Arabidopsis thaliana: one gene and its partner. The protein of the gene in region 1 interacts with the protein of each later gene in a pairwise test. Each region holds a gene or a part of one and is shown in the gene's direction. Other genes may lie near its edges.

Region 1 (5,305 bases):
CGACTCTATGAGTTACTGCTCTCCGATAAGAAGGAGGATGATTCGGATTGGGAAGGAGATCATGTGAAAAAGAAGAAGAAGAAGAAGAAGAATCGAGGTAAGAAGAAGAAATCAGACATAAGAGGAGATGAATCCGGCGGCGAAAAGCAGCTCGGTGAGGGAGAAGATGGGCTTGTTTTGAATCCGAGGACAGACTCGATTTCGATATCGGAAAACAAACCGGAGTTTGTTTGTTTATATCCTTTTACATCGACGAGCAGTGCTACGCAGAGGAAGATTAAGCAGCAATACGATCAGCTTGTTAAATGCAATAATGCCAAAGGATTGACACTAGCTCAGGTCACCTTCTTTACCTTCGGTTATTAACTATTTATGGAAATCAAAATTGGAAAACGTGAATTTGAAACATAAATCCAAGTCTATTAAGCCTGTGATTTCCTTAATTAGCATCCTAAAACCTCTATGTGGTTTATATACCTTTGTGGTGTTTGTTCAATAGCCTATACTAAACTCAGTTGATAAACTAAATGATTTTTGAGTTGGGAGGTTTCAATACTTAATCATCAGCTAAGCTTGCTTCCTTTTGATATATCAGAATGATTTACTTCAATCTAAACTTTGGATTACTATAAAATTCTGCCCAGTTGAGTTTTAGATTCTGATGTTTTCTGGGTTCTTCACTTCTGTAGGTTGGGGAGTTTGCTAATTGTTTGATAGAAGCCAAAAATGAACTACAACACAAGTAAGTTAACACTACCATAACATAATATCATATACTCTCATCCATTTTCTTAGTTCTTCCTACATTTTGAGGACACAGGAATTACAAATAGTTGCTTCCTGTTCTATGCTTTGTTATGTTGATGGTGTGACATGTTGCTTTACTGAGTTAGCCTTTTCTTCTCCGGTGACACTGATTTAAGCCTGATTGTGTCTACTGTAGGTCAGAAGTAATCAAGCGCAAGTTTTCAATAACAAAAGCCCTTCTCTTTAAGGCTGATAGATCTTCCTTTGACCGACTTCGTCAACAGGTGAATTTAGCTTCATCAATTGATTGTCTGATTTTTATCCGTTTGTTGCTTTTGAAGTTAATTGTTTGTGTGTCATCAGATCTATAAGCTGGAGATGGAACAAAAAAGAGTAGAAGAAGATGCACTTGTATATAATTGGCTCCAGCAACAGCTTAAACTCTCACCTGCATACAAAAAGGTTAAAAACCAAACTCAATCACTTGTTTCCAAAGATTGTGTCCTATGTGTCCAAAACCTCAAAAATCTGTTCAATGATGTTTCTGATTCTAGATTAATCTTACTGATTGTTGTTGCTGTCTGATAAACCAGTAGAGTCTTATCTCCTGTATTGGACTCTGTTAGCATAATTGGGACTTCCCTTGAGATTTTTGGTTATCTCTAGTTAAAGCCGTTAATACTCTTTATGATACTACTATAGGTTCTTGAAATAAGCGCTTCCATGGAACTCAAAGACAAATCGAGCACAGAGTTAGACAATCCAGATGATGAATTTTCAGACATTTCCTTCGAAGAGCTATTGGAACAGGAAAAGAAAGACTCGTTTTGGTCAGCATTTCTCTCCATCTCTCCTCAAGCTTATTAGTAAATCTAAATTACTTGCTCATATGAATCTTGCTCCATGTATAGGCCTTTTTGAGTATTTCCGCAATCTTTCTTCATATTGCTTATCCTCTATAACCATCTTACTCTCCACTCTTGTGTTGGTTTTCAGGCATAAAAATGGAAGATTGCGAACTTGCAGAACATGATTTGGTGATTGAAACTGCCGTGAGCTCAGCAGGAAAACTGAATCCTTTTTTGATGTTCTCCTATTTTTGGTGCTGTGTATAGAGAGTTTCCTCCATAGGGATGCGTTTTCTATATAACACATTACCCGGTTTTCAAATCGATTTTTTCAGTTCGGTTTGAATCAAACTGATTCGGTTTATCTGAATTGAGCAAAGTCCAAACGTGCATGAGTATCGTACATAGTGAGGCTTTTTTCGAGAAAAAACACTGTTGATAAAAATATACAAACACAAGCATCATGACTCATGGGGGATAAATGCACTTGAACCGACCGGTACAATTATATCTGCTTGTGAATTAGCTTTAAACCGAAGCATATGCAACGCGGCCAGTGGATTTTGTTCCTCAGTAAAAATCTGTCAGTTTCCGCCTCGAAATGTGAGAATTTCGGCCACAGTCTACTAAACAAACGCACTGGCCAGTGGCTATGCCTTTGGTTTCATTATCTTTTGCTTCATCTTCTTCAAAAGCCATGGCTTTGTGCTCTATCTGTCCTCGCATCCCTCTTCGATTCAGGCCAAAACCCATTTCCCCTTTTCTCTCAAAACCTCAAATTTGTCTCGCTTACAGGGTTTACTCTTCCCTGCAATCTACTACTCCCTCTACCAGAGGTAATTTCTTGCTTTGTATTATGCATACACTGGTTTTCCAGAACTATGAATTACGTTTAAATGGATTAAATTATGAAGTGTCGCTCTCTTTTTAGGACAAAACCCACAAGTTTCGAGAAAGATGATCGAATACTATAATCTCCTTATCTTTATCCTTTTTGGGGTAGTCTTATCTGAGGAATTGTGGTTCGTATGGCAGATGAACTTGGAACTGTTAGCATTGGGTTTCTGGGTATGGGAATCATGGGTTCTCCAATGGCACAGAACCTCATCAAAGCTGGGTAAAAAAGTTTTGATTTTTATGTGTAGACAATCTAATTCACATCAATTTTGCTACTTTACCTCTTTTTGATGTATTGATGATACTTACGTTGATCTTTCTGGGGCTTGGTTGTTAGGTGTGATGTGACTGTATGGAATCGAACTAAGAGCAAATGTGATCCTCTCGTTGGATTAGGAGCAAAGTAAGAGTTCCAATGCTTCTTATAAAGAATGATATTATTTACTCCGAGTGAGGTTTTAGAGCTAACGTAGAAGAAAAATTTAACGATTAAGAAAGTATCTCCCTTTGTTGCAGGTACAAGTCTTCTCCTGAAGAAGTGACTGCAACTTGTGATCTCACATTTGCAATGCTTGCTGATCCTGAAAGTGCAGTGCGTATGTCTCACTTTTGTTTGCGTCTCTTTTTCTTCTACTTTCACTCCATATTAAAACAAAAACTGTATTTTGCTTTCTGTCAGATTGATGTTGCATGTGGAAAGAATGGAGCCATATTTGGGATTAGTTCAGGAAAAGGGTACTTACTCCTTCATGAGACTTATGCTGGATATAACGTTCTATTGCTGAAATGTTTCAAGATATCTGTATTTCTTATGTAACTACAGAAGAGTTCACAGTCGTTCTTTTTTAATTTCTTCTTCGAATCTATATAGTAATGTGGTCGATACTTTCTGGTAAAAATGGGACTTGCCTTGCTACTGCAGGTATGTTGATGTCTCAACCGTTGATGTGGCCTCATCAATACTAATCAGCAAGCAAATAAAGGATACCGGAGCCTTGTTCTTGGAGGTAAAGGCTCTTAGTTAATCTATATCTAGAATCACTAAAAAACCTTGTAACAGATCTGGTGGCTTAAGTCATTTCTATTTTTGATATTCATAGGCACCAGTTTCAGGTTCCAAAAAGCCTGCCGAAGATGGGCAGTTAATATTTCTCACTGCAGGTTCGTAACAGCTTACTCCTCATTGAGCTTGTATTAATAATCGATCATCACTTTTGCATATCAGATTATTTTGTCTTCGCGGGTGACTTGCCTGTATTTTCTAACATGGTTGAATCATGAATGAAATGGAGATTTATGACTATCTGGCACTTGACATTTTAGGTGACAAGCCGCTATACGAAAAAGCTGCTCCTTTCTTAGACATCATGGGAAAGGTATCTCTTTTGCCTGTGTTTTGCTTTTAGTTCTTTTTTCTTCTGCAAATGAACCATTTTCGTTACTAGTTTGCATTATATGATCCAGTCAAAATTCTATTTGGGTGAAGTTGGTAATGGAGCAGCAATGAAACTTGTCGTCAACATGATCATGGGAAGGTATCATTTGACCATCTATCGCTTCATTTCTTGGCAAATTCCAGATTCTTCTTCTGATCTCTTTTTCTCTTTACCTATGCAGTATGATGGCATCATTCGCGGAGGGAATACTTCTAAGCCAGAAAGTTGGACTCGATCCAAATGTACTTGTCGAGGTAACTAAAACACCATTGTCCAGCAGAAAGTTTCTTACCAAATGTGCTATAAACCCCGGGAAATTTTTTTCTGCAGGTTGTCTCACAGGGAGCTATCAATGCGCCAATGTACTCACTAAAGGGTCCTTCAATGATCAAGTCAGTGTACCCGACGGCTTTTCCATTAAAGCATCAGCAGAAGGTTTGTGTAATTGTGTTACTTTCTTTTTTTAGATTCTCACAAAGACTCTGGAGTTTGATGAGACTGTAATTGACTTTTATCCGTCTATAGGATATGAGACTCGCACTTGGACTAGCGGAATCCGTATCGCAATCTACTCCGATTGCAGCCGCTGCGAACGAGCTTTACAAGGTTGCAAAATCTTATGGGTTGAGCGATGAAGATTTCTCTGCAGTAATTGAAGCACTAAAAGCTGCAAAATCCCGAGAAGCTTAGCTAAAGATTTGTTCAATGTGAAAATGTGTTTTTTTTTGCTGTTGTATGAAAAATTTCATCTTTACAACATGTCAATTGATAATTGTTAATTTTATATGAGAGCAAGTTAAAAGTGTCAAACACAAGTCAACCTTTGATCTCCTGATGTTGACAAAAGCAACAAAGAAAAGTGTTTGACCAACGTTGACTACAATAAATACGGCGCCGTTTCGGATATTCCGATGATAAGTTGATAACACCGAATCATTTGTTTCAAAAAATTCTTCAGTGCCTGAAGTGTTAAAATTCTCGCCTGAGCTCGTTGCCGTTTCCACTTCAACCATATTGGTTAGGGTTCTTTCTCTTCCAAGATAAGAAATTTTGAATGTTTGATGTCATAACTTTGAATCAAGTAATCGAAATTGGAGAAAAAAAATTCATTTTTTAAGTTTGGGTTTTCATCATAGACAGACGGAGAAATTAAAAGGTTTTGTTTTGACTCAGCTGCAGTGATCGATGGATTATAACTCAGATCGTGGTTATGATGACTCTTACCATCATCACGTACACGACGAACAATTACCACAATCGGATTTTGAAGTGGAGACCTTTGATGACCGGAGGAACGGTGGTGCAGCCGTTGATACTGGTGGGATTCAGATGAAGCATTCCGTTGACCATCGCCATTCTTCTTCGTCCATGTCTTCT
Region 2 (4,935 bases), about 13 Mb from region 1:
TTCATCCATCTAATATTTTAACTACATCAAATGAAGTCTTTTATAAGTACAGGCACTAATTGAACTTGAACCCTATAAAATACATGAATAATCACAAAGAATTGATAGTGTTCTTTCAGTTTTTCAATCACAAAGAACTCACCGACATTATCAAGTTGACTTCACTTTTAGACTTAATTGGTGTTCTGGAGGATCCACAAAACTACTATTACACAGTTTTCACAAAATTGTGATTCTTTATTTTTTATTTTCTTTGGTCAAACTAACATTTCATTCAACTTTAAACGAGAGTTGCCTCCACGTGGAGAGTATACACAAAAAGCTACGAGGACAAATGCTCAAACAAAAAGACATAAGAAGGGGAGCTCAGAAGCTCAACCCGAGTAGCAGCATCCAAAGTTGCTAAAACAGAACCATCATTTACTTCTGAGGCGGTCTTCGTACCAAGCTCCTTCAGCAAAATTGTGATTCTATGTTTGGATATCATGAGATCTAACTACAAAGTTTTTAATAACAAAAACTTACCATTCTCTAATTTGTAGTCAAAGCTAAACAAATTTCATACTAAAACAATTTTACTGTGTTGTTATGGATGCATATTTTTCTCACTTTATAGTACTATTTTACTATTGATAAGATGAAAAAAAAGTTGAGGTACAATAGTAGTAAAATAGCATCATTCTTTTTCTGTAGAATCTCTCTGGTCAATGGTCTTTTTAGTTTAAAAACTGAATAATGTTCTCTCTCACACAGTAAAAAACAAAGAGAGAGAGAAAGAAGAGAAGAAGACAAAAATGTAGGCATTAAAAAGAAGAAAAAGACAAAGAGAAAAGTAATGAAAAGACAATGAACATTTAAAGAAGACAGACAAATCCCACACCCAAGCCTCAGCCTCATCTCTTTTATTGTTATTTGTTTTTCTAACAAAACAACAAAAACAAAAGAGATGGTTTTTGGGTTTTGTTTTGTCTTTGTTAGGGCGTGTTTGGACGTTTCCTTCTTCTCAGAATCAATATTTTACCAAAACAGCTTTCTTTTTTTCTCTTTAACAATTTTTTTGATGTAGAAATATATAGTCATGATTCCAAATCCACCTCATGCCATGACAAAAACCCATAAAAGTGGAGGTTCCAATCTCGAATACAGACATATATGTTGTATTCGTGTATGTATCTATTATAAGATAATTCCAATTTGTATAATGCCAAATGGGTTCATTGAACTTCTTCTTCCTTCATAATTAAGTGTTGCTTTTTCTTCTTAGTTCCTCTAAATCAAGAAAATTCTAGGTGAAACTTCTCTTATCTTGACTTTATATAAAATAATAACTATAAAAATAATCAATAAGACTAATTCCTACAAGTCTTACAAATTTAAAAGAAAATGAAAATGCAACATTAGCTAATACACATAATAGTATAAGATTGATGGATGTATTCTTATTCAGTTTTATTTATAAATGCAACATAAGCTAATACACTCTCATTCAGTTTTATTTATTAATGTTACACCACTTTAAGAGCACTCAAAATCAAAATACGTATTCTTATATGATATTCATTCATGTAGTACTAGTACACATAATAGTATAAGATAGATGGATGGGATTGGAAAATTTGACAACCTTTTGTTTAATAATTCCTTAAAACCAAGGAAAGAAGAAAGAGGAAACGAAAAAAACAAAAAGGAAGAAGACAAAACCGACTATCACGCATTGTCTGGTACGTAGAGCCAAAAGGAACAATGCCTCTGTTTTAGTGTTTTCTTTCTTAAAGTTTTTTCCCAAAACACAAACAACATTTCACACACACGCTATTACTCACAAGATAACCACCAGAGACGTGGATAGAGAGATAAAGATTGAGAGAACCCTCTCACTCCCAAAAAAAAAGCTTTAGACATTTTCTCTAAATCCATGTAAGTTTTTTTCTTTGGTTATTGTTGTTTGTTATCTTCTTTGATCATTTGCTATTATTTTGTTTTGTTTCTTTCTTAGTTTATCAAATTAGGAAAGTTTTAATTCAGCTCTCTGTTTGTGTTTCTTCGTCTATATCTATTTCAAATAGTTTAACTAGATTCAAAGGTTTTTAAAATTCAGTACTTTCTCTGCAAACCCTAGTTCCTCTGTTCTTTAACCCCCTTTTTTGTTAAACTGCAGATTCTCTGCATCTTTCAAGAAATTCCGAATCGTGGGTTTGGTTCTTCTCGTTACGAGTCTCTCAAAGTTTAAATCTTTCTTTACAAAAAAGGTTACTTTTGGTTCTGAGTAAATCAAAATCAAGCTTTTGGCCTTCAATGGTGGCTATGTTTCAAGAAGATAATGGAACATCTTCTGTAGCTTCATCACCACTTCAAGTCTTCTCAACTATGTCACTCAACAGACCGACTCTCCTCGCTTCTTCATCTCCGTTTCATTGTCTCAAAGATCTCAAACCAGAGGAGCGTGGTCTCTACTTAATCCACCTCTTGCTAACTTGTGCCAACCACGTGGCTTCAGGTAGCCTCCAAAACGCTAACGCAGCGCTCGAGCAGCTCTCTCACCTCGCTTCTCCTGACGGCGACACGATGCAGCGAATCGCTGCTTACTTCACCGAAGCGCTTGCTAACAGAATCCTTAAGTCCTGGCCTGGTCTTTACAAGGCTCTTAACGCAACTCAGACAAGAACTAACAATGTCTCTGAGGAGATTCATGTTAGAAGACTCTTCTTTGAGATGTTCCCGATACTCAAAGTCTCTTACTTGCTCACTAATCGAGCTATACTCGAGGCTATGGAAGGAGAGAAGATGGTTCATGTGATTGATCTCGATGCTTCTGAGCCAGCTCAATGGCTTGCTTTGCTTCAAGCTTTTAACTCTAGGCCTGAAGGTCCACCTCATTTGAGAATCACTGGTGTTCATCACCAGAAGGAAGTGCTTGAACAAATGGCTCATAGACTCATTGAGGAAGCAGAGAAACTCGATATCCCGTTTCAGTTTAATCCCGTTGTGAGTAGGTTAGACTGTTTAAATGTAGAACAGTTGCGGGTTAAAACAGGAGAGGCCTTAGCCGTTAGCTCGGTTCTTCAATTGCATACCTTCTTGGCCTCTGATGATGATCTCATGAGAAAGAACTGCGCTTTACGGTTTCAGAACAACCCTAGTGGAGTTGACTTGCAGAGAGTTCTAATGATGAGCCATGGCTCTGCAGCTGAGGCACGTGAGAATGATATGAGTAACAACAATGGGTATAGCCCTAGCGGTGACTCGGCCTCATCTTTGCCTTTACCAAGTTCAGGAAGGACTGATAGCTTCCTCAATGCTATTTGGGGTTTGTCTCCAAAGGTCATGGTGGTCACTGAGCAAGACTCAGACCACAACGGCTCCACACTAATGGAGAGGCTATTAGAATCACTTTACACCTACGCAGCATTGTTTGATTGCTTGGAAACAAAAGTTCCAAGAACGTCTCAAGATAGGATCAAAGTGGAGAAGATGCTCTTCGGGGAGGAGATCAAGAACATCATATCCTGCGAGGGATTTGAGAGAAGAGAAAGACACGAGAAGCTTGAGAAATGGAGCCAGAGGATCGATTTGGCTGGTTTTGGGAATGTTCCTCTTAGCTATTATGCGATGTTGCAGGCTAGGAGATTGCTTCAAGGGTGCGGTTTTGATGGGTATAGAATCAAGGAAGAGAGCGGGTGCGCAGTAATTTGCTGGCAAGATCGACCTCTATACTCGGTATCAGCTTGGAGATGCAGGAAGTGAATGATATATTACAGTTTGTCTTCTATTTTGGTTATGAGCAGAGTCCCTTTCTTTTTTGTATACATGGGGACACAATCTTAGTTGTTTTGTGATGGTGACTTTCTGTCTCTTTATGCTATTTTGGCTTAAATGCTTCTACTGCCTCTGCATGTAAAGCCTTTGTGTGTTGGTTCAATTTGGTCTGGTGTGGGTGTAATACCAAACCAAATCCAATTTGAGCTGAAGATAACTAATTTGATGATCGGTTCAAGTTCAGAACTCCAAATTCTTTCAGAGACCAGCCAAACTTTGCCTATCTTTAAGCAGGTGATCTTGTCATTTGTGTATTGTAAATAACTTAAACTCGGTATATATATTTAGGTTACTAAAGGACATGTTCACTATCCAAAGAGTATACGACTTATCTGCTGTCCAAATACTTTGTAACCTAAAGTTCACGTGCTTCATTTACATTGAATCTAGTTTAACCTAATCTTCTTGCTTCATTTATATTTGAATTTTGTTTAAGCAATCTAGTCTTTATCTTGTCTTAGCAAATTCACAGAGTGTTTCTCATGCAAAAGTGTTGCATGATCAAAACACCTTGATAATAAGATTGAAAGAGTAATGTGATCCCAAAAGGAAAGAAGATCTCGGATGAACTGATTCAGAAAAAGTATATACTCTGATGTTATATATACTATGAGACAACAGCTAAGTTATTTACATATTTCCTCATTTCAAATCTGTGAACCTGAAGAACACAAGAATGCAGCTCATGATCAAAATTCTGAAAGAAGCGAAACTTCGCCAACCCAAGATTTAAGAACAGCTACACCATGAATAGATATTTGAGATCATCAACTGTTAATCGAGTTGCAGAGCTTCCACCATGATCTTCACCAAAGGCAGACGCAACCATTTTTCTTTTCTCTTCCTATAATAATAACCAAAAATCACACAACCACAAATGAGAGAAACTGAGGGGGGAAACAAGTATCAGCTATAAGGGATCTTTACCTGGAGAGCCAAAATTCTATCCTCCACAGTATTTTTTATCGTAATACGAGTTACAGTAACAGGTCGAGTTTGTCCAATACGATGTGCTCGATCAATAGCCTGATCTTCAGTAGTTGGATTCCACCATAGATCAAGAAGAATGACATGACATGCAGCAATCATATTCAGCCCAAGATTTCCAGCTTTTAAAGA

What was found.
Region 2: the proteins of GLYR2 (region 1) and SCL3 interact in binary tests that used the Arabidopsis thaliana proteins (3 or more experiments, as listed by UniProt).

Annotation. Positions count from the first base shown.
Region 1 is NC_003070.9:6,068,907-6,074,211, reverse strand, and holds GLYR2 (glyoxylate reductase 2), read left to right. Parts: upstream 1-2,082; 5' UTR 2,083-2,247; coding exon 2,248-2,431; intron 2,432-2,526; exon of another isoform or gene 2,527-2,623; coding exon of another isoform or gene 2,624-2,630; coding exon 2,631-2,712; intron 2,713-2,829; coding exon 2,830-2,895; intron 2,896-3,008; coding exon 3,009-3,084; intron 3,085-3,171; coding exon 3,172-3,227; intron 3,228-3,414; coding exon 3,415-3,499; intron 3,500-3,592; coding exon 3,593-3,653; intron 3,654-3,815; coding exon 3,816-3,868; intron 3,869-3,956; coding exon 3,957-4,027; intron 4,028-4,109; coding exon 4,110-4,182; intron 4,183-4,258; coding exon 4,259-4,363; intron 4,364-4,453; coding exon 4,454-4,618; 3' UTR 4,619-4,788; downstream 4,789-5,305. Other genes in the region: AT1G17665 (CA-responsive protein), read left to right, coding at 1-339, 690-742, 944-1,031, 1,111-1,209, 1,450-1,577, 1,744-1,780; AT1G17640 (RNA-binding (RRM/RBD/RNP motifs) family protein), read left to right, coding at 5,114-5,305. UniProt on the Arabidopsis thaliana protein: Catalyzes the NADPH-dependent reduction of glyoxylate to glycolate as well as succinic semialdehyde (SSA) to gamma-hydroxybutyrate in vitro.
Region 2 is NC_003070.9:18,676,986-18,681,920, reverse strand, and holds SCL3 (scarecrow-like 3), read left to right. Parts: upstream 1-1,620; 5' UTR 1,621-1,917; intron 1,918-2,158; 5' UTR 2,159-2,295; coding exon 2,296-3,744; 3' UTR 3,745-4,227; downstream 4,228-4,935. Other genes in the region: AT1G50410 (SNF2 domain-containing protein / helicase domain-containing protein / zinc finger protein-like protein), read right to left, coding at 4,556-4,660, 4,744-4,935. UniProt on the Arabidopsis thaliana protein: Probable transcription factor involved in plant development.